Linked DNA regions of Rhinolophus ferrumequinum. The protein of the gene in region 2 interacts with the protein of the main gene of each other region in a biochemical or structural test. Links are inferred from orthologs where the notes say so. Each region holds a gene or a part of one and is shown on either strand. Other genes may lie near its edges. The genes, in order: TLK1, MBP and PRKCZ.

What was found.
Region 1: the proteins of MBP (region 2) and TLK1 form a complex in vitro, tested with the Homo sapiens proteins (2 studies listed by BioGRID, with this or other methods). The link is inferred for Rhinolophus ferrumequinum from reciprocal best matches to the Homo sapiens genes MBP and TLK1.
Region 3: of the proteins of MBP (region 2) and PRKCZ, one has a biochemical effect on the other in vitro, tested with the Homo sapiens proteins (2 studies listed by BioGRID). The link is inferred for Rhinolophus ferrumequinum from reciprocal best matches to the Homo sapiens genes MBP and PRKCZ.

Annotation. Positions count from the first base shown.
Region 1 is NC_046291.1:53,177,476-53,184,897, reverse strand, and holds the start of TLK1 (serine/threonine-protein kinase tousled-like 1), read right to left. Parts: upstream 3,046-7,422; coding exon 2,907-3,045; intron 1-2,906. UniProt on the Homo sapiens protein: Rapidly and transiently inhibited by phosphorylation following the generation of DNA double-stranded breaks during S-phase. This is cell cycle checkpoint and ATM-pathway dependent and appears to regulate processes involved in chromatin assembly.
Region 2 is NC_046302.1:58,915,794-58,923,843, forward strand, and holds the start of MBP (myelin basic protein), read right to left. Parts: upstream 3,067-8,050; 5' UTR 2,935-3,066; intron 2,929-2,934; exon of another isoform or gene 2,670-2,928; intron 1-2,669. UniProt on the Homo sapiens protein: The classic group of MBP isoforms (isoform 4-isoform 14) are with PLP the most abundant protein components of the myelin membrane in the CNS. They have a role in both its formation and stabilization.
Region 3 is NC_046292.1:901,807-908,924, reverse strand, and holds the start of PRKCZ (protein kinase C zeta type), read right to left. Parts: upstream 3,028-7,118; 5' UTR 2,816-3,027; coding exon 2,745-2,815; intron 1-2,744. UniProt on the Homo sapiens protein: Calcium- and diacylglycerol-independent serine/threonine-protein kinase that functions in phosphatidylinositol 3-kinase (PI3K) pathway and mitogen-activated protein (MAP) kinase cascade, and is involved in NF-kappa-B activation, mitogenic signaling, cell proliferation, cell polarity, inflammatory response and maintenance of long-term potentiation (LTP).

The DNA.
Region 1 (7,422 bases), on a different chromosome or scaffold from region 2:
GAGACCACAGGTTTCAAAGATCCAACATGAAATCTATAGCTACATTGTGAGAAACTCTCAGAGAAATTCAAGACTGATAAAGAAAAAGTTTTGGGACTCCCAAGATAAATAGTCGTCATTGCTATATAATACAAATCCCTAAATTCTAATAAATTCCTAAATCTTATAATATTTAACTGTATTTTATTTGTAATTAAGCCAAAATTATATTCATATGATGAGAATAGGATGGGAAAGGAAGAAAGTCAAAATATGGAGCATTAAAAATAATTAGCTTATAATCTTAGATTTTCAGTTTCAAATATATCAAAACTTCAAAATAATTAATTTTTTCAGATACTTACAGCACATCTTTAAAAACAGCCCATTTTCAAAGTTAAGTTTTCTTAAAAGTTCATCACATATAACCATTATATGTGGAAACATACACGTGTCTCTTTTAAATTTAAAATTTCCTATTATATAGGAAATTGGCCCAATTTTTCAAGGAACAAGGTTTGTTCTCTTTCTTGATACATACAGTCAAGTTCCATTTATATTAATAGTTCTTACTAGCAGTCACCAGAAGTCGAAAGCTCTCTCAATTAACATCAATTTATATAACATACTAAATGTATACCTGGAAAATATGCTAAACACTAGTTAAAATAAAAACTGAGATCCCACTCAAAAGAAAATGTCTCCATCTTGATACCTGGGGCTATTAGTGAAATCTGAGACTATAGCTTCAAGATGAATATATAACCCTAGGGACAATTAACGTAATTTTAACTTACATGATAGTTGGTCAAAAAGACTATGGCCTTACAGGTACTTGGGGTGAAGAATTACTTTCACAAAAGCATGTACTGTTATTTCATTAATTAACAGAGAGACTCACTAGTTTAGGTTTCATAAAAATCGATTATAATCTAAACTGCTGGAAAAATTCTGGTTATTTGGAAGTTCAAGCTAAATTATTCCAACCCCTCAAAAATTTCAAACATCAGGAAAAGTGCAAAATAGAAGTTTTTTAAACTAAAGTTGAAGTAAACTCCAAAACTTACAATCTAAGTTTTGCAGCCCCCAAATTACTAATACGGATTAGATGTTACAGATGAACAACTAAATACTACATCCTCAGTGTGTAGCATGGCATCTGTCTCACAGAAATGGCTCAATAAATGCATTTGAAAAAAAATAATAAATGAATGGATGGATGGATGGATGGATGGATGAATGAATGAATGAAAGAAAGGTACAGCCTTAAAAACCAGGAGTCTTTCCCAAAACCATCTCTTACTATCACTCATTACATTATCATTCATAACACTATCATTAAGCACCTTAATGAAACTACAGACAAAAGTAAAAACATGCTGAAAGCGCCAACTGCTCTATTTACAAAATAAATTTTAAAACATTCATTTACAAATTTTCCAGTGCAAAAAACATCACCAAATGTGCTAAATTTGAGTTAATCAATAAATAAAACTTTTATCTTCTAATAATCAGAACTCAGTGTCGGGTGAGATGGAAAGGGGAAAATGTCTGTCAATGTATTTAGCATGTTTAATGGATGCCATAAATCAAACCTTTCCATGAATTTTCTAGAGCAAATTCATGCCAATCTTTGAGCCTATTGTCACTTTCACACATGCTCACAGGAACAAAATGACAAAGAATGCTATGCCGGAACCAGTGGATTGAGGGCACAAAACACTTGATTAACAATTGTCAAGGCTCTAGTAGTAAAAATTGACAGATATTTTCAAAATAAATTAATCCCACAGATTCCTACATAAATCAAAGCTCCTGGTTTCTTTAAATGATTTACTAGACTATAGGACTACCAGACGTCTTTTTTTTTTTTTGAGAAGGTGGCTACAATCTCGTGTGACACAACTGGGAGTGAGCCCAAATGCTGATGAATACCGCTCAACGTGTTCCAGACAAAAGAGCGTTAAACGCGATTCCACGCACATTTATTCTTCCCCAAATGTGTGTTCTCCGAAATATCATTTTATGTGGTATACTTAAAGTTAAACACATACAGCAAGTTGAAATTTTAGGGAAAAGCACTCTAGTGTCTTACTAGCTGTGTAACTGCTACATCTGGTGGCAGCACACTTACATGCAAGAAAGCAGAAAACTTAGAAAACAATTGTAACCGATCTGGTGCGTGTTTGCAGTAAACCTTTAAGCGGGTATTTCCCACAAAACCCACGATCCTGTCAGAGAACAGTAGCCTACTTGCAGTAGAGATAATGCACAAACACACAGGAGGTGATGCCGAAGGAAAGTTGCCACCATCTGAAGAGGTGGTTTAAAAAGCCTGCACACGAGTCAGTCTATCCGTTAAATTGCTCTAGGGGGCCAAGCAAGGGATCAAAGTCGGTTTTGATCATTTTAGCGGCTCTCCCCGAAGGGCAGAGACCCTTCAAACGGGGGGCATCCTTCAGGTCCCGGGCAGCACAGCTCGCAGAGCAGGGACCGCCTCTATGGGAGGAGTACGCGAGGGAAGGGGAGGGGGCTCGAGGATGAATGCTTCAACGGGAGGGAAAACCCACCAGAGACCGGAGGCCAGGAGGTTAAGAGTACTGAGTGTACTAGCAAATGGAGCAGAAAGGGGCTCGCGGCCGGGGGGAGTTTTTCCACCCTAGCAGGACTGGCTCCTAAGAACCCCAGGCGAGTCTGTGCCCTCGCCTCGCCCCGTCCCCTCCAGCGCGCACCCCATCTCCCGTGTCCTCCGTCACCCGCGAACCACCACCCACAGCCAGCGCACTACCTCCCCGCAGACGGGCGGCCTCGCGTCTACCTCACCACCATCCCCCACCCCGGGGTCGCGGGGAGGAGACCTAGGGGTCGCGGGTTCCCCAGCGCGCGAGGGGAGGCCCGCGAGCGGGCGCTGGCGCGACGGCGCTTACCTTCCCTGGGCCTCCCGGATGGCGGCGTGTGATTCAGCAGGGACCTGGCCGCCGCCGCCGAGCCCGGGGTTGGAGACGTGGAGAGCTGGGACCAAGATGGCGGCCCCTCCAAACTTCCACTGCTACTTTGGACACTCATCAAGCTACTTTCTGGGAACCCAACTCCCCCCCTGCGACGGCAGCGGCGGCAACGGCACCGGCACCCGCCTCCGTCATGGCGGGGGCCGCGCTGAGGGCGAGCAAGAGAGCGAGGGCAGGGAGGGGAGAGTCAAGGGGATGGGGGAGGAAGCCGAGAAGGGGGGAGGTGGGGAGGGAAGAGGTGAGGGGAGGAGAGGGGACGGGGAGGAGGAGAGGGGGGAGAAGCGAGGGAGCAGGCTGGCGCGCCGGGGAAGAGGCGGAGGGAAGGAGAGAGGTGGCTGAGGCGTCGAGGGGGCGTCCGCCGGTGCCGGGGTCGGAGCGCGGGCGGAGCGCGGGCTGCGCCGGCCGAGGAGACTTCCGCGGGCGGAACCTGCCGGCACCTCTGCAGTGCGTCGGCCCCCGGCGTCGCCCGGGTGGCGGCGGCGGCGGGCGGTGGGTGGCGGCTGAGGCAGCGGGGTAACCTCTGCATCAGTTACAGGCGGCGGCGGCGGCGTCACGCGCCGCCTGTGCAAACACTATCGCGAGGCTCCTGCGCCTCCGGTAGCGGCGGCGGCGGCGGCGGCCGCGGGAGCAGGCATGGGGGAGGGACCTGCCAGGGGTTGGGGGCGGGGGGTGGCGAGGGAGGTGACGCGGGCGCCCCTGGCGCACCCGCGGATCGCGGCGCGGGAGCTTCGGGCCGGCGGACTCGCGTGCGCGGGAGTGGCCTCCCGCGCCGGCCAGAGGGAGACGCGCCCCGGCCGCGCCGCTCCGGCTCCTGCTCCGCTGCCACCTGACTCCCCGTCTCCCGCGGAAGCGCGCGCCTGGCTCCTGACCCACACCCAGCCTGGGGAGAATTGCTGCTGCTCGCTGCGCTGTCGTTTCTCACGAGTTCGATGCGATCATTTCTCAAAATGGAACTGAAAAGTTGAGAGTTGCTTCTTTCCTAGCCATCTGTACTATGCAAAAAAAAAAACCTGTGTGCGTCTCCCAGTCTGTAGAATGGGAGTGATTACAGAATAAAAGCTAAGAAAATACGTCGGGAGTGGAGTGTGGAAATAAAACTTTATGAATGTTTCCTTAAAAAAGAATATTCGATGGTGTTGTGCACCGTATGTGTGGTATAGCAATTCTTTATTTTGAAACTAAGTGGAAAATCTAAACAGACAACTTTGCTTACTGATTTCACATATTTAGGGAAACTATGCAGCGCTCATCTTGTAGAAGAGGGTATGGTTTCCAGAAAGTTCCAGCTTCTTTGCAGTGCCGCTGCTGAGTCCCGACTACAAAATTCCAAAGGAAAATACAGTATTTGCTACAATTTATAGATGCAGTGTAGTTTTCTACACAGCCACACACGTACAGACACATCAGTGATTGGACGTCTTGTATATAAAAGAACCGTCTAATAAGGAAAAATACAAGGTTATTGCTCTCTAAAAAACCAAATTGAACACTAAAAAGATGATATAGGGCAACTGTACAGACATGAGGAAATGGCATGATTACCAGGGGGACAAAAATGTCATTTCTATTTTTTATTTTTATGACTTTGCATTTCTCACAGTAATGTTTTGTTCAGATAAACTCATATTAGACTAGAAACTTGGTTGTCAGTTATCTCCAGAAATAATTTTAGTTTTCTTGTGCTTCAGATTCTTCAGTGAGTTTCTAGTCTTGTTCTGCTTTTCAAACTTAATAGGTAGATTTCACTTCAGTGAGATATAATTGACATACAATAAATTGCACATATTTTAAATGTACAATTTGATAAATTTTGACATATATGTACTCCTGAAACCATTTCTACAATCAAGATAGTGAGTGTATCCATCAGCCTCCAAAGTTTCCTTTACCCCTTTGAGGTGGTTCTTCCACTCCACCCTGACCCCCAAGTAACCACAGGTCTGCTTTCTGTCACTTAGATTAGTTTCATTTTTCCAGAATTTTAGATAAATAGAATCATACAGTTTGTACTCTTTTGTCTGGCTTCTTTTACTCAACATAAACATTTTGAGATTCATCTACATTGCTATATTTATCAATAGTTCATTTCTTTTGATTGCTGAGTATTCCAGTCTATATGAATATACCACACTTTATCCATTTACCTGTTGAATATTTGTGTTGTTTCCACTTTTTGGCTTATTACATGCTTTCCTTTCTCATGGATACATATCTAGGGCCTTACCATTAGATTTATATACCAAAGTATGCGCACACTAGAATGAGGAAACAAGTCCTATAACAACATGTAGGTAAATTATGTAAATGTATGCTTTTTCTGTATTTTAAAAGAGCTTAGCTCATTGTGTAAAAAGCATAAGACAGAAGGAAAGTCAAGAGACCTGGGTTTTAGTCTCAGCAGGTAACAATCCTTGATTCAATCTCATCATCTTTGAAAAAGAGGTTAGAATCACTAGGTGATTTCTAAAGCTCTTAACCAATTCCAAGACTTTATACAGAGCTCCACTCCTCTCAAGAGAAAAAACCCAACCAAAAAGATTGAGGTTATCTTTCTCCCAACTCTCTCCAGAGCTTCTCGTTACCTTTATACCAACCTGGGTAACACTATGCAGACAAACGCCTTTTATTTTAAGTGGTAACTAGAGGATCACAGCATATACTTAATTCAATTACTTTAGCTATGTTTTTGTTATGAGTGCTGCCAAGGAAGGACATTTAAATGACTGATTCCTGCTTTCTTGTAGCTTAAGATGAAGATAGTCAACACTGACTTATAAAGAGGCTACTGCCAGCAACAGGGAACTAATTAAATAAACTGTGGCTTAGGCTGAAAATGGAATGTCATGACATCATTTAAAATCATGTCTTCAAAGAACACTGAAAAAAGATGATAAAATTTTCATACAATAATAAGTGAAAAAGTGGGTATGATCCCAATTTGTTTGTAAGTATACATAACAAATGACTAAAAGGATCCACCCAAAAAAGTTAATAATGACTAGCCTAGGGTTGTGAAATTACATCATTACTCTTTTCCCCCTTTATGCTTTTTCAAACTTTGTGAATCATGTATTAAGTAACAAGTTTAAAAAGGGCCTGAATACAAATGTGTAAATACATAATTTTATAAAATGATTGTGATTAATGAAAACGTTTAAGTGGTAAGTAGAGGTTCCCCCACACCTTGCACATGGTTAGTACATACGCATTCAAAAAACGTTTCATAGGTAGAGCAGATGGCGAGGGGGATAGCTTGCACAATAGGAAAAGTTACCAAAAATCAGGAGAGTCCCGATTCGGAGAAAAAAGGAACAACTGCCACTCTATGAGGGAGGAGAAATCTCAAGAAAAGGAAGAGAAGATGATTAGAAAGGGGTTTGTGGCAAGCTTTCTTGGGGAAATGTTCCCGGGGGGAAGCCAGCATGAAAACACAGGAGTGAACTGAGTAAACGATAGGAGAGTGCAGTAAATCCAACTAGAAAGAATTGGAAAGAGGGTGGACGGTTGGTTCAGTGGTTAGAGTGCAGTCCTAATAACACCAAGGTCGCGGGTTCAATTCCCACATGGGCCAGTGAGCTGCGCCCCGCCCCCCGTAACTAGATTAAAAACAATGACTTGACATGATGCTGATGGGTCCATGGAAAAACACACTGTTCCTCAATATTCCCCAATAAAAATTAAAAAAAAAAAAAAGCATTAGGAAGAGATGGGAGAATGTTCTTTCTGTGAATTGAGTGTTCCATGAGGACAGGGATTTAAGCCCCTAGTACGGTGTGTGGCGGAGACCAAGGGCTCTGTCAATGTGGAATGAATGAATGATGAGGAACAATAAGCTGGGATAAAGGTGAGGGTGCAATGCAGAAGAGGTCTTCAAGGGTCTCCTGAGAGAAGTTCATATACAAAAGGGAGAATCTGGGCCCTGTTCTGTAGACTGATCCTAATTTACAGCTATGTTTATTAAACTCTTTTCTATTTGTATACCATAGTAAAAGTACTTACAAAACATCCAATATTATAGATAATAATAAATGCATTTTATAGCTCTTAACATTTGATTCTTTCTTAATTTGATGAAATAATGCCCAAGCCCCTTTCCCCCAAACCAATCAGAAATGAGCCCAGAGACTGGATGGTGTCCTTTCTGAGGACTTGGGGGCAGGGGGCAGGGGCAGATTATGTACATCTCTCATAACTCAGAGTTCAATGATGTCACATCTGTAGCTTGAAATTGGCTATGGTAAGAGTATTTACAACTCCAAAGTCAGCAAAAACTACAAATAAGGGCTTCCTCACCAGCACACCACTGTTCCCACAGTATATAGATCATTGCCTTACTGTCATTTGTTTCCCCACCTTGGCTAAAATCTTAGGGAGGGCAAGGACCTTATCTGTCTGTCTATTACATATATTCCCAACATCTAGCAGTTGCATGGCA
Region 2 (8,050 bases):
GCTTCCGAATAGGCGTTGTCAGTTACCTGGTCGCAAGGTGAGGGAGACTGCCTCCACTCACGCCTGCGAGGTGTAGCCTCCCTGCTGGTCTCTGTGCTGCGGATCCACTTGCCTCCCTAGCCCCAGCCCCTCACGCTCCATCTCTGGTGTGCAGCTCCCACGGATTCTGCTTCTCTGGTTACAGCCCGGCTCTGCACTCAGGTGCGGATCGGGAGAAAAGCCCAGCGGCTCATCGCTCATTGGCTACCTTTGGAAGCACGGGGTCTCCCAGGACACCTACAGCTGTGTTAATAGCCACTCAGGAGCGCCCAAATCAGGCCGGCTCACCTTCCTTTGGGGGCTCCACCGGACCAGTAGATGTGTCCTTTATGATTACTTACTAAAAATTATACTAACTAGTCAGAATACTTCCTTTTCTCCTTTATTGACAGCTAAGGAAGTAAAGGAGAGGATGACTAACAAAGACACATGATAGCACCATTATAGTCAAATCATTGTTAAGAGGAAGCATGGTTTTCGGGGGTGTGGCCACTCATTCCGGGTGGAATTTTTAAAAAGGATGAAAGGATGGTAGGTCTGCAAGGTGTCCTATTTACCCAGGCCACGCAAGACAGCCACTCGGGGCTGGTGGCCGACCCTGGGAGCCGAGTCCTGTGCGCCCCCGTGGTGTCTCTGTGCCTTGGTTTCTCTGCCAGGAAAAACGACGGTATAATAGGGTCGTCATATCAAATGAGGGTAGTCATGACTGTTGATGAGGTGACACGGAGCCCTCCGAACACAGCCTGGCAATTTGTAAGGGGTCAGTAAACACTCCCTGGATACCTGGGTAGGAAAGAAAGGCACAGAGGCAGCTGCTCACATTGTGTCCAATTTTTAAACAATCCAAACTAAAATTCAAACATGATAAACTTCAGTTATATTTAAAACTTCAGGCGGAAACAGGAAAATCACAAGGAAGATTGGTCTGCTCTCTCTCAGTTCACTGCCATCGCATTCAAAACCATGACAGCAATTCATCGCCACGTCACAGAACAAGTCACTTATGTCAAACTCTCTTATCTTTGCGCAGAAATGCGATACTTTAGAAAGATGTTCAAAGTCCATTTGAATGTCGTTTCGGAACAGTTAAATCCTTGGGAGTTACTGTTAACCAATATTTTACAATAGTTTTTAACTGGACTCTTTCCTTTCAGGTTTCTGTTTATCCCACTTGAAAAACTAAAACTACTGATGAGGAGTTTTTCTTGGCGGGTAGAAATATGGCTCTCAGGCTGCTGGCTTCTCTCACGTCATCTCGTCCATCATTGCTGGAAAAGCCATGCTGTCCCCAGCTCTCCTAGCTCTGAACACCTGGGGTCTCAGTGTCTGAGGAGGCCCCATCACTCACAGGGAGCCTGCCTGGGGGCCTATGGGACAGGACTGACCTGGCTTAGACCCAGGGTGGTCCCCGGCTGTAAAATGTCTTCCTGAGCTTGGCAGGCTATAATCTCCGAAAACCACAGGTCTTAAATAGGCGGCCCCCTAAAGTTCCCTGGTCTGAAACACGCTTTCCAGCCAGCTTTCCAGCCGCGTGGGTGTGGGCTGCCAGAACAGCGCCCCCACACTGTGTTTACACCCTCCCAACACCCCCAGCTAAGCCAGTGCCTTCCGCGGATGCAGAGACCAACTGAACACATGGTGTTGATTCTCACTTCGTAGTAACTGCCAAACAGAACCAGGAACCTGAACGCGCCCATTTCCTGCCCTTGTCTCACTGAAATCCCCAAACAAACTTCGCGGTTTTAACAAACCCCACTCCGCCTTCCGAAACAGGGGCTCAGTAGACCCTGTTTAACAGAAACCAGGCGCCTCCACCAGCATCCCACGAGCCTTAGAGCCACCTGGGCGCCAGGGAATGGATGAAGAACACACACTATTCCCGGGGACCCCCACACCAGGAGAGCCGGGCCCAGGTGTCCATGAGAGTCGCGCCCAAGACGGGCCCGCGCAGGCGCCCGAGGGCAGGTAGGCGCAGGTGGGCACAGATGGGTTACAGGTGGACACAGGCGACGGCGCGGGCCAAGCGGGGCCAGGCCCTGCGAAGGCGGAAGCCAGGCGAGTCGTGTGTCGCCAGCTCAGAGCTCAAAGGGAAACTGGGCTTCGTCTGGGGGTGGGGAGTCCGCGGTGGTCCGCTGGGCTCCAGGTGCGGCATTAAGCGGCACTTGAAGCTGGTAGGAACCCCCAGGCTGCCATCAGCTGTCACCACCACCGTCCCCGCCCCACCCAGAACTACCTCTTTGCCCTTGGTCACCTTCCACCCCTACATTCCCCCCCACCGCCACCCCAGACTGCTCGCTCCTCGGCGTCCCTGGCCGTGGCTCCAGCCAGAGACCACCTCCCGAAACCCGTCGGTTCCAGCCCAGCCGCCGCAGATCTTCGTCTACACCTGCGCTCATCACGTTCAGGGAGACCACAGGGCTGCCACCTGCCCCAGCACCTGCGCCGCTGCTGGCGGGGGAGAGCGGCGGAAGGTCCCTGGATGAGACGCGGGACAGCCCCCCACCCCGGGGCCTTCCCCAGCCCTGTGCTCCGAGCCTTCGCTCCGGGTCCCTCCCGGGTCCCCGCGCCCCGCTCCCAGCGCGCGGAGACAAAGCGCCGCCGCCCGCCCGCCCCCGGCGACGGTCACCCACCGCACTGCGCTCGCCGCTCCCAGGCTGAGGGCGCCGCGGGGTCCAGTTCACCTGCCCGCCGCCCGGGCCCCAAGCGCGGGCTGCGCGGGGTCCCCGGGCTGCCGGCGCCGCCTTCCGGGTAGGAGACGCGGGCCGCCAGGGCCGGAGGCTCGCTCTCGCTGGCGCGCCGCGCTGACTGGCGGCGCTGCTTAGAGGCCGGGCGCGCACCCCGCCCCTTCCCGCCTCCAAGGCTTCCTGCCGCCAGGTAAACACTGCTGAGTCCCACCTGCCGCCCCCGCCGGCGCCGCCGGAGCCAGGACGACCCTGGGGACAGCCTCGGGGACGGCCTCGCCACGCGGAGCCGGCGATCCGCGGGGACCCCGCGCCTGTCAGCCCCGGAGGGCGGGGTCAGAGTGCGGCCGTGCTGACCTGCTGCTCCTGGAACCCATCCTCCTGCTCAGTGTTTGAAACCACTAGGTGAGGCCCGAGGGACCTGAGACAGCATCTCCTCACGCTGCAGTTCACGGTGGGGTGACCGAGGATCCAGCCAGTTCAGTGCCGGGTCTTCGGTGCTCCACTGGCCAGCCGTCCACAAAGCCTGGCCCTTGGGGAAAACCAGAGATTAGTTCTGCAGGGACCCCAGTCCAACAACAGGAGCTGGGCTGGAGAGCACAGGGTTCCATCAAAGAGGCAGATGGAGAGCACCCAGGAAACATTAGAAAGTGCCCAGAGCTGGGGACAGATCCTGGGTCCTGCAGCTCTGCAGCATTTATTGGCTTGTGGTCGGTGTCATCTCTTGGTCCGAAGGTGCTGCTGTTTGGACATTAGTCATCTGGACACACAGATTTGGTGGAGTCTGGGAGCCTTTCCCTGGATCCTTGGCCTCCTGAGGACAGCCAAGTAGGAGGGCACAGGAGGCCAGGAAACCCTCCTGACTCAGATTCCAGGTCAGGGATGGAATCTGACACTTCCCAGGAGACCTGGCCCCACACAGGGTTTGTTAGGGGAGGGGGCAGTCTGGTGCCTGCAAGACTCAGTGAGCCCTGTCCCCAGGGCCAGCTGTGCAGGGACAGCTTCCGGGCACCCTGCCCAAACCAGCCATCCTCAAGGACCCCGGAATCCATCAACTGCATGCAAATGCTGGTGATTCTAAGGGAAATACATCCGTGATCATATAAATATTTAATCTGATCCTTTCTCAGGAGAGATGAGGACGTGGGTTCCTGGAGTTTGAGGCAGACGTCAGGAGGGCAGTGGAAAGTGATGTGTCCCCAGTCTGTATGCCCTGTCTTTTCATGCTGACTTTCAGGAAAGGAAAACTACGGTGGGAGGAAGGGACCCAGACAAACGCTGAGGGCGCAGTGGGCAGTGACTCTACCCCAGGCTGCTCAAGTCGCTCTTACTCCCCCTCACCCCCCCACACACTTGTTAAAGCTCAGGCCAGGGTGCTGGAATCCGGGGTGAGTGGGGTGCAGAGGACACTGGGTTTCTGGCCCACAGATGTCAGTGAGGGTGCTGATGGGAGGCTTTCTGAGCAGCCGTTGTCCTTCCTGCTGGTGGTGCTGCCGGTTTCTCAAGGGTTTATAGAAATTCCACTTAGGCCAGCAGTTGTCTGCAAACGTCAGGCTTATCAGTTACAACTCCTTTTTGAGTATTGATAAAATTCCACATGCCTATTTCATGGGGATTTAATGCCCCCCAAATTCACGGGTACTCCAAGGAAATTGTATATGAGGGAGTCAGGAACACTATTTAAAAGAGCAACGGAAGGGCATGTGGAAGGTCCAGTGTTAGCGAGGGATTTGCCCTGCTGCCTGGCTTGGGAAAGGACCCAGGGCGTCACCCCTCAGTCACATGAAGACGGCTCCGCACGCACCCTTTAGCAAAATACAGGTTTCATTTTGCTGAATAACGCTGGACGGGTCTTTTGACAAGTAAAGGATAAGTGATCCAAACCTCATTGTCTCTTGGACATTCCTAAGAAAATCGTGTTATACTTGGCTCCCTCTCTCACACACGTCAGAAAACGATGGCAGGAGCCTTCAGCATGTCGTACTGCAGCAACTAGTTCAGGGTTTTGTGTGTGATACACACTCAGGAAGTTTTTGTTCAGTTGAATTAAACTCCAAATTCCCCAAACTAATGGAAGGAAGTAAATTAATCCAAATAATTCCCACCAAGCTTACTCTTTCTGCAGTTCACCTGAAATGGTGAAGAAGCTTCACCTCTACTGAGAACGGCTCGCCGTTGCGGGTTGAATTAACTCCCCAGAAAGCTACATCCACTTCCTACCCGATCCCTGTGAATGGGACATCGTTTGGCAATGAGGACTCTGCAGATGTCCTCAAGCTAAGATGAGGTCGTTAAGGTGGCCCTGACCCGCTGTCATGGGTGTCCTCATAAGAAGATGGAAAGACGGGCAGAGGAGACGCAGAAAAGAAACCGAGGTCGGGGGCAACTAGCGGACAAGTGGTTATTTTTTAGGATGACAGAAAGGACGGCATATCTGAATGTGACTGGCCTCTTCTGGAGAGAAGGGACCCTAGTCTTCAAGGTGACACTTGGAAGTGCTGCTTAAGGACGGGAAATGTCTATGATTAACTCCCTGCTTTCACCTTCTTCGGTGCTTATGAGCACAAGGGGGCATCTGAGTTTTGTGGGGCTCACAGCCTATCCCATTTGGGAGCCGTTTCTAAGGAGCAGAGCAGAAGAACTGGATGCACAGTGAGGTACACGGTACCAAAGGGACATTGATGGTTAAGCTCAGGTAACAGCGCTCACGCGGTTCTGTGGCAGGTAAGAGCGCAAATTACAAACTGAGGACCCGTGCGCCTCCTGTCCGTCTCTCCCGGCTGCATAGTCACAAGTCTCTTCTTGGACCAGGCGGTCGGAGTCTCTGACCTCATGGCTTAACAGTCCCCATGAAATGGGAGCAGGAGTAGTTGACACTTTGCAAAGCCCATTAGCCTTCAGGGAGCACTGCTACTTCCAAGTGTGTTTTGTGATATACTTGCCACCACCAATTATGAGAAAATGATCCTGTCGTTGGAGCTCCTGGCTAAATTGCACAAGATAAATGGAACCCAGTAGGTTTTACTGAAGTGAGTGTTCTTCCTGGCTTTTAATGTTCTACCTCTTAAAGCATCTGATGGGAGGCCGTGGAAGAAGCCAGGCCAGGGACTCTGCACGTCTGTATCACTGTCTCTGGGATGGAGCATTTCTATAGACCTGTTCCTATGGCAACCAGAAGCAGAGGTTCATTTGGTCAGGAAAATAGAGCACACTTCTCCGTTTGGCAAGGATATGTGGCGCAGGCTGTTCAACTCGGTGTGAGTGCGTGCAGCTTGCCTGGATCAGCAGCGGTTTCATCTGTACGGCGGCATCATACAGGGGCCGTTGTGCACAAACAAAAGCAGTGTGTGCTGCTCCAGGCATGAGCAGTGCTGGATTTCCCTAAGACCCTGTGCACTCAGGTCTGATGTGACGAACTAGCCGAAGGAGCCAGACTGGCAGACACCCTGCATCTCACGTTGTAGGGAAAATGGTCTTCTGTTCACCCAGCCGTGGCTGGTTTCTCCTCGGCCCTCAGAAGGCGGCCAGCTCCGATGTCAGCGTGGCTCTTTCCTGCAGTCCTTAAACCTCTCCTACGTTTGGAGTTTTCCTGCCGTTCCCTAGTCCTGCAGCTGTCATCACCCACGTGCCAACATACAAGCGAGCAATTTAGCCGTAAGCTGACCTTTAAAGTGTCAGGGATGGCCAATCACTGCCCTGTCTTCACCTCACCTCAGCCAATTCCACATTTAGAAGTCATTCATAGTAACACCCCGCTCCTGGACCAGATTATTCATTGGGTGCAAGTAGAAGAAAACCAATACAACCAGCAACTGAGAATAAAAGGGCCGCATTCTTACGTCACGAGAAAGTTCAGCAGGAAGCTGAGGAAGAGGAGAATGAACTCACAGCACCTCTTTCCTTTCCCTGAGCAGAGCTGCTGCAAGCATATACAACATCCAAGGCCAACGGGACAAGGCCACTCATTGGTTTAGAAGAAGCTACATTTTTAACACTTAGGGAGTTTAGCTGGCTCAACCCTGCCTTTCTAAATATTTTCTGATCTGTTTCTCTCTCTCTCTCTCTCTCTCTCTCTCTCTCTCTCTCTCTCTCTCTCTCTATCAGTCTCTCTCCGTATGCACCTATATATGCCTATCTGTCCATCAATGCCATCTTACAAACAGGCCTGACTGCCTGGGCCGTGGGGTGGGGACGGGTGGCCTGCCCTTGGCACCGGCAGTGCCGCTGTCGACATGCTGTCTCTCAGGTTAGGATGAGGTGCGCATGCAGCTTCAGTAGTGAGAAGAGACGCAGCTTGACGGCTCCTGGAGAGGATCCAGTCACCCCTTATCTGTGCTCACACTGCAGGCCACCCGCTGACCCTGACCCTGGGCAGAAAGAGGAGACGGCAGGTGCCGGGCTGGGTAAAGTGAGTCCAGTAAATAATGAGAAATTAACTGTGGACTGCTGGTTTGTCTCCCAGGAGAAATTTTACAAAGAGAGCTCCCCCCCCCGCCCCCGCCTCCATACTCCTTGCTGAGGCTGCGCCAAGCCTCGGGCTCCTGGGCTGCATCTGACTGTAACCGCGATGATTTAAGCTAGGAAATGAGACAAATATGTAATAATCAAGTTGGCAGAAAAGCGTAATTAAAGGCGATGAAATGCGAAGTGAAAACTCCCTGTGCCTCAGGAGGCCAGGAAAGCACAAAGATGAACCTGGTGCTTTGTGCTGTTTTGTCGCGTGTAAATTCCATCTGCATGGTTCTAACTTTTCCAGTTAAATCACACAGCGTTCATAACAGGAATAAGATGGGAAAGTTAGTCCTGGAAGAACACAGGGCCATTTGGAAGCTGCCTGCTCCTCTGGCCACATGAGTCACTCAGGCAATATGTTCAAGACACTAGGATTGCAGCTCAAAAACGCTGATTGAACACCAAAAAGAATCTCCTCAGAAAGACAACGTATCAAAATACATTTCCAGGGCTTTTATCCTTGTAGAAACTATCTGAGGTGATACACAAACGATGTACTGTTCTGGTGTGGGAAGGTGCATTCATCAGGGCTCCCAGAGAAGCAGAACCAATCAGAGATGCAGAGATCTTATCTCTCTACTAGTCTGTCATCCATAAGGAGACTTATTTCAAGGAACTGGGTCACATGATTGTGGGGCTGGAGACTCAGGCGGGACCTGATGCTGCCGTCTGGGGGAAGAATTCTTTTTTCTCCAATAAACCTCAGTAGTGGCTCCGAAGCCTTCCAACTGGATGAGTTCCACCCATAATATCAAGGGCAATCTCCTTAAAGTCAACTGACTGAAGGTATCAATCATCCCACAAAATATCTTTACAGC
Region 3 (7,118 bases), on a different chromosome or scaffold from region 2:
ACATCACAGCCTCTCGCAGCCACTGGGCGCCTCCCCTCCTGGGCAGGACTGCAGCACCACGGGGAGGGCCCCACCCCCAACAGGCACCAGGCCCCTGACCCCCACCAGGCCCCTGACCCCCACCCCTGATTCACCCCAATCCTGAATCCAGCAGCCCCTCTGAGCAAGCCAGAGCCCTGGGCCGGCGACCAGGAGAGAGCACCCAACCGCCCGGAACGGCCCCTCCCTGGACCCCAGGTGTGTCAGGCCACAGAGCACAGCCCCTGCCTGGGCTTCGCACGGCGCAGGTCCTGGACAATTCGCGTTCTGAGCTGGAGGGAGGGCAGACCCAGCACAGTCATCTCTCTGACCTTAGAAAAGTGGCCATGTGAGGTTTAGCCCGGCAGAATAGGGTCTCCAAACGCCCCAAGCATCAACCGGAAACCCCCTGAAAACTCCATGGAAAACACAGGTGCTGCCAGACCCCACTCAGACTCCGGTGACCACACACCCTCTAAAGGCCCCGCGAGAGGGGAGGGAGACCCTGATCTCAAGCCTTGGGAGGTCTCAGGGGATGCGAAGGGTGACCAGAGGGGCAGCTGAAGAGCCTCCCCCGCTTTTTAAAAATGGCGGCTTCAATGTGTCTGGCCCCTGGCCGGGCTGCCCCCAAACAACCCCCTACCCAGAGGGACCAGCAGCATCTCATCCAGAGGCGGGATTTCACCTGGACCTGGGGGGTCTGTGCGAGAGCCCGGGCCTTGGCGGGCACTTTCTGGAACCTGCATCACTGTGGAGCTCTGAGGACTAGGTCTCCCAACTCAGACAGCGGCGTCTCCAGCTCCCTGGGTGACGCCCCCGTGCAGGAGCCCATTAGGAAAAGCAGGCCTGGGAGGAAGTGAGGAGCCGGGCCTGCAAAGGAACCTAGGGAGGGCACAGCTGGCAGAAAAGAGGGGTGCGGGAGGGAGAGGAGTGTTGGAGCAGCGGGAGGAGGAGGAGGGGAAGAGGGAAGGGAAGGGAAGGGGGGAGAGGTGAGGGATGGGACGGGATGGGTGAAGGGGAGGAAGGAGCAGAGGCTGGAATGGAACGAAGAGGAAAGCGGTGGGGCGTGGCCTCCTGTGCCTGAGGAAACCAGGCTCAACAGGTCACATTACTCCTGGTAACCAAATCGCTCTCCCGGGGCCAAAGCCAGGGGAGCGGACGTGGTGGGCGGGGCGGCTTCCCCAGAACTCCCCCAGGTCTGCTGAACTTTCCCCAGGACCTGCCTCCACTGTGGCCCCCACGCCACAGCTCAAGGCCTACAGGTGCCTCCTGGAACTTGTCCTGGGGGAAGGCTGTAGGGTCTGCTTCCCACCCCACCCCCAGGCCGCTCTGGGTGCGGGCATCTTCTCATCGAGCACCATCTCTGATTTTCACAAAGGCCGGTTGCTCAATTCAAATGCTCCACAGTGGATCCACAGTTTACCCCGGGCAAGCCGGTGGATAAGCTCAAACCTGTGGACGGGTACAGAGCCAGGGCCTAGCTGACACCCCACCAGCTTTAATCGCAGCCCACCCTTCCTGGCCAAAAGATAGAACTCAGGGCCTCTTCACAAAGGCCTGCAAGCACGGCCCCCAGAAATCCTTCTGCCCTGGGGCTCTGCCACCAACCCCCCAGCACCGTTCCACCAGGCTGAGGGGCACCGAGGGGACAGGAAAGGCCTGACCCGAGATCAGAAACAAGAAACGCTCAGGTCAACAACCCAAAGCCCCTGCTCAGCCTGAGGACTCGCTGGGCGGTGCCATAGGGCGGTGCCCATAGCGCTGTGCCCACGGGGCAGACCCCACTCCATGCTACTACAGCTGCAACCGCCAAGTTCACCCGTGGGGTCGGCGCTCCGCTCTGCCCACCCCCACCGGGCAGTGGTGACCCTGGGAGCAGCAAGGTCCGACTTGGGGACTCCTGGAGACCAACACCGGTGGAAGGCAGCAGCAAAGAGCCTAGTTCTTCCTAGAGCGCTGTCTACACCGCGCAAGGGGTGGCGGCGGGCTCCCGGCCTCTGGACGCCACCCGCTCTGTCCCCACCAGGGCTGCTCGGCGGCCAAGTGTCCAGCGCTCCCGGCCACTGACCCCTGTGAGGCGCCGACTCGCCCCATTTCACAGCGAGGCAGGTAGAGTCCAAGGCGCCGTGCGCGGATGCAGGGCTGGTCAGTGTCCGAAAGGTGTGGTCTCAACCGAACCGCGCCGAGCCCTTCCAGGCGCCCGGCATTCGTGCAAACACCGGCGACTAACCGCCTGGCCTTCGCATAGGTCATAAACTTTCCTTAAACTGAGATCTCTGGCCGCGGAAATTGAGAAAATTTAGGAAACCCCGATTTTTAAAAGTCTGCCAGCAGTTTTCACAATTTGACAAAAACTTGAATCCTTACAGGTTTGTGGCCTTAGTATCCTAGCCAACTTTCCAGGGAAAATGTCAACACTGCCCAGGACCGTGGAGCGCTCGGCGACGCCTGCCTCCGGCTCCCGCGCCCGCGCCGCGGAGTCCCCCCCGCAAGTCCGAGCCCAGGAAAACCTCGTCCCGGCCGCCCCTTGGCGCTGGCGCGTCAGGACCTCCCGGGACGCCCCTGGGCCCGGAGGGGCCTCGCCGTTCCTTCCCTCCCGCGCCGCGACCGGGAGCCCCCGGCTGTCGGCCGCCCGCTGCAGCGGCGACACGGCCCCCGACGACCTGCGCGGGGCGGGTTGCTCCCGCGCCCGCCCCGCAGGGCGGTTGTCGGGCGCCAGGGCTCACCCGTTGTAGTGCGCCTTCAGCCGGACGCGGCCGCAGCTCCCGTCCATCTTGGGGCCAGTCCTGCTGGGCATGGCGCGCTCCGCCGGCCGCCGTCAGCGCCGCGCCCAGGACGCTCGGGCCATGGCACGGGGCCCCCAGGGGCCCGGCGTCAGGTGGGGCCGGCGGCGGAACGCGGAAGGGAGCGCTCGGCGCGGGGTCGGGAAGCACTGGCCCCGCCAACTCCGCAGAACTTCGGCGGCGCGCGAGGCGGGGAGGGGGCGCGGCCGGCGGGGGCGCGCTCCCGCGGAGTACGGCGTCAGGCCCCGCGGGGGGGAAGTCCGAACATGGCCGACCCAGCCGGCGGCCAATCGGTGGGGCGGACGGTCCCGGGGCGGGGGCGGTGGCACCTGCGGCCAATAAGGGCGAGGCGGGGCCGCCACCTGGGCCAATCCCCGGGGGACCCCGCGGCCGCGGCCCAATGGCGCGGCGCGGGGACACTACCTGTCGGGCGGGGCGCGGTCCACCTGCGGCCAATGGGAGCGCGCGCGGCCCGGCTCTGCCCGGCAACCCCCGGCGGCTCCGGCGGCCGGGGACTCCGACAGCAGCCGCCCTGCGCGTTCCCCTCGGTGCAGTGGGCTCCGGTGCCCGCGATTCCTACGTGGGGTCTCCGTGCTGCAACGCCCCGGGAACTTGGAAATGCCAACTTTCGGGTCTAGATTCGCTGAATCGAAACTCCAGCCATCTATACTAACAAGACCCGGGTGATTCCAGGGCAAGCGCTGGTCTGGGGTACAGAGAGGAGGGGGTCGCTGGTGACGTGGGCGGGGGGCGGCCAGAGAGAGGTCCGCCTCCGGGGAGGACAAGTGTGGGTCAGCAGCTCCGACCCCGAATCCCCAGTGCCCCGCGTCCGGACAGTTTACTGATGCGGAGACCGAGGTCTTGAGACCCCGGCCAAGACCACGGCTGAGAGGGGCCAGGCCCCGATGGTTGTCCGGGCCCCAGCCGCCCTCCTCCACCGTGGAATCCAAGATCCCCTTGCAGGGGAGGCTTGTCTACACTCGCTAGCCGGCTCCCTCTGCTCCTGGGACGAGGAGACTGCGTTTGCCGGGGTCGCCCATGACCTTCATTTCTGAATCCACAACGTCCACCTTGGCGTTTGATCTGGACGGTTGCATTTGAACACTATCCACGGCTCACGCCTTCTCTAAGGGCCTGCAGCCTAGCCCCCCCGCCCTTAAATGTGGGGTTGGGTTTCCTTGAGGAACCCACCCCTTACTCGTTGCGTCCACAGAGACCCACGTGTGCTGTTAGCAGGACCTCACCTGGGCGCCAGGTGGGCATCCCAGGCTCATAGGTCTGCAGCCCCCATCCCTGCCACCCCTGCCAAACCGGTCCTTCCATTGGCTACTCTCCGGCCGCCTCCCCCCCCTTCCACATTCCACCCAGCTGGCAACCTCTGACGCAGTCTCTGCTAAGCCTTCACCACTCCTCACCTGGACAATCCTAAGGGCTTCCCACCCTCTCTCATTCCACAGATGCTTCCTGGCGCCTCCTGGGTGCCAGGCGTTGGGGGGACCCTTGGGGAACCAAGTGGTCATAGAGCTCACGTTCTTCCTAGAGATGGCCACAGAGAAGCCCTTTGACGGCCCATCTCTCACCTACTTAAGGTGCTGTGAATTCTCCCTTCTTAGAGAAACCCTCTGCACCCCACACCCTGCCACCCACCTGCTCATTTCTCTGCTCTTTACTACAAAATTCCTGTCAGGAAGGAGCCATCTGCAGTCCGTATCCCCACTTTCTCCTGCCACTTTCGCTGAGCCCCTCCTCCACCGGGACTCCTGTGTCACTCCTCAGACTTTTTCTTAATTGACCCTTGATGATCCCCTGGGAACTCACCCTAGGATGCTCTCTCCCCCACCCCTCCTCCTTGGCTCCAAATGCCATCCCAAGTTCAGCCCGCTCCCCTGAACCTCTCATCCTAGCAGACCTCCCTCCACCATGCCCTTCACCTCCTTCATTGTCATGCCAACCCCTCCTTTCCAGGTGCTCAACTCAAAAACCTTGGAGTTCCCTTTGCCTCTGACACCCCACTCCCCTCCAGCTGCAAATCCGGGCCCCTCCACCCTCAACATAGGTCCAGACTCCAGCCACGTCCTGCCACCTCCACGGCCACCTCCCACTCCACCCTCAGCACTGGGATTTTTGCAGAAGCTTCCAGTTTCCTTAAAACATGCGTCAGTCTGTGTCCACCTGGTGTTCAAAATCCCCAATGATCCCCCATGGATCACAGGCAAAAACCCCAGGTTCTGCAGGGACTGGGGTCCCATTTCCTTCTGCCCTCATCTCTCACCATCCTCATACTGGCTCAGCCCACCTGGCCACCTGGCCACATTCCTGCCTCTTGCTCACCTCGGGGCCTTTTCACCACTCTTCCCTCTCCCAGGAGCTACTTCTCCAAAACCCACACTTCCTTTGAGTCTCTACTGACCATTCCTGATGCCTGTATCAGTCCGCTTGCCCGCCTCCCCCCTGTGGGGTGACCGCTGCATCCCTCCGCCTGGGCACAGAGCTCCATGACTTTCAGTTGGACGTGAAGGGGAACCAGGTACGAGTGTTTACCCTGTGAGGGATGAGCAGGAATCTGCCATGGGAGCGGCAGCCCAGGAGGCAAATGTGTGGGGTGCAGCCCTCCCAACCCCACCCCCATGCGAGGCCTGCAGTCTTGTCCCCACAGCCTTGGGCACTCCTGACGGGTTGCACTTCATGGGCACAGGCCATCTGACATCCCACAGCATCCCCGGGTGTTCTGATTTTCTGCCTCAAAGCGTGGCCCAACAGGGAAGGAGTCCAGAGCTTGATGCCCACAGCAGGCAGGACGGGCTGGTGGGTGGCCGTTCCACGGGACACCATTTCTCGGATATGCCCTAGCCAAGGCCCCAGTGGACACAACAGCCCAAGTACAACCCCAGAGCCCTTTCTAACCGGGACAGCCTTGTTGGGGTTGGAGCCACTGACATCCAGTGTCCCCTGGGCACTGGTCTCGCCTCAGCTGCCATGTGGGAGCCTCCCTCCTGGAGGCTGGTACCTGGGTCACTGCAGTCCCCAATCCTGGCAGGGGAAGTTCGGAAGAGAGCTGGGGTGGGAGGGCTTTGTTCTCCGCGGGCTTGGGGAATGGAGGTGCCTATCTCAGGAGGCCATCCTGGGGGGGAGGTTCCACGCCTGGCTCTGGGACCACATCGAGCCCCAGGCCGGAGTGAGGGTAGCCTGCGGTGCCCAGAAAAGGTCCCCTGAGAGCAGGTGGAGGCCAGGACTTTTGCATTCTGCCCACCAACTAGCTCTGCAAAACAAAGGCCCCCACCTGCCCAGGCCCTCAGACCACCTCCAAAGGTTGGGGGCGGGTGACCTCGGGGGTTTCCTGGTGGCCACCGGCGCTGAGCCACCCCTGTTAAGGCCTCAAGGGTAGAGTGAGGTTGTGATGTCCTGGGCACCCAGTGCTGTCACTGTGTCTGCCACCTGCTCTGTACTCTGGTGACCAGGGAGGGTGTCTGTTCCCCAATTTTCAGACCACTTGCCCCTCCAGAAGTGATGGGGGTTGGGAGCCAGTCAGCCGGGGTCACTATTGTGTCCCCATGTCTCTGAGCATCTGGCACACAGTGGAATGAATGAATGGATGAATGAATGAATGAACGAATAGGTGAAGACCCCTTGGAAGTGCTGGGACAAGGCCGGCCTCCTAGGACCACGGGCCCTGTTCTGGGGGTCACTGGGCAGAGTTACACCTCTCCCCTTCTGCAATCAGCAGCTTAAAGGCGGGTGCAAGGACAACCCATGTGGGCGGAGAAGGAAGGTGACCCTTGGACCTGAGCGCAAGACCCCAGACAGACCCAGGAGGGCCCCAGTGGCTGAGGGAGGGTCCTTTTCACCTCTGGGCAGTTTCTGTTTGCCCAGATTTTCCACAAAGACCTCATATACTTTCATAATCACCAACACCTCTTATTTCCAAATGAAAATTCAAAGATGTGTTTTTGTTAAGTGATTGTAAAAGTGGCACGGGCTTCTTGTAAAATCCCACATCACGGAAGGATGTGGGCCGAGGAGAAACCCTCCAGTCCTGACACGCCTCCTCCCTGGACAGACCCAGCCGGGCAGGGGACACGCCTGTGGAAGCCACCAGCACTCCCTGTGCCCTCTTGTCACCTGGGGGTAGGGGGGTCCACTGGTCATCCTGGCAGGTGTGAGACTGACCCGGCGGGGACCACGAGGACCCAGCAGGTCACAGGAAGAGCCCAGAATGGGCAGCAGAAGTTTCCTTTCTTTGTCACAAGTCGCGGGATTTTGAGAAACTGGTGCAAGCGACAACGTTCACTGCACTCGCTTATTTATTCATTCGGCGGG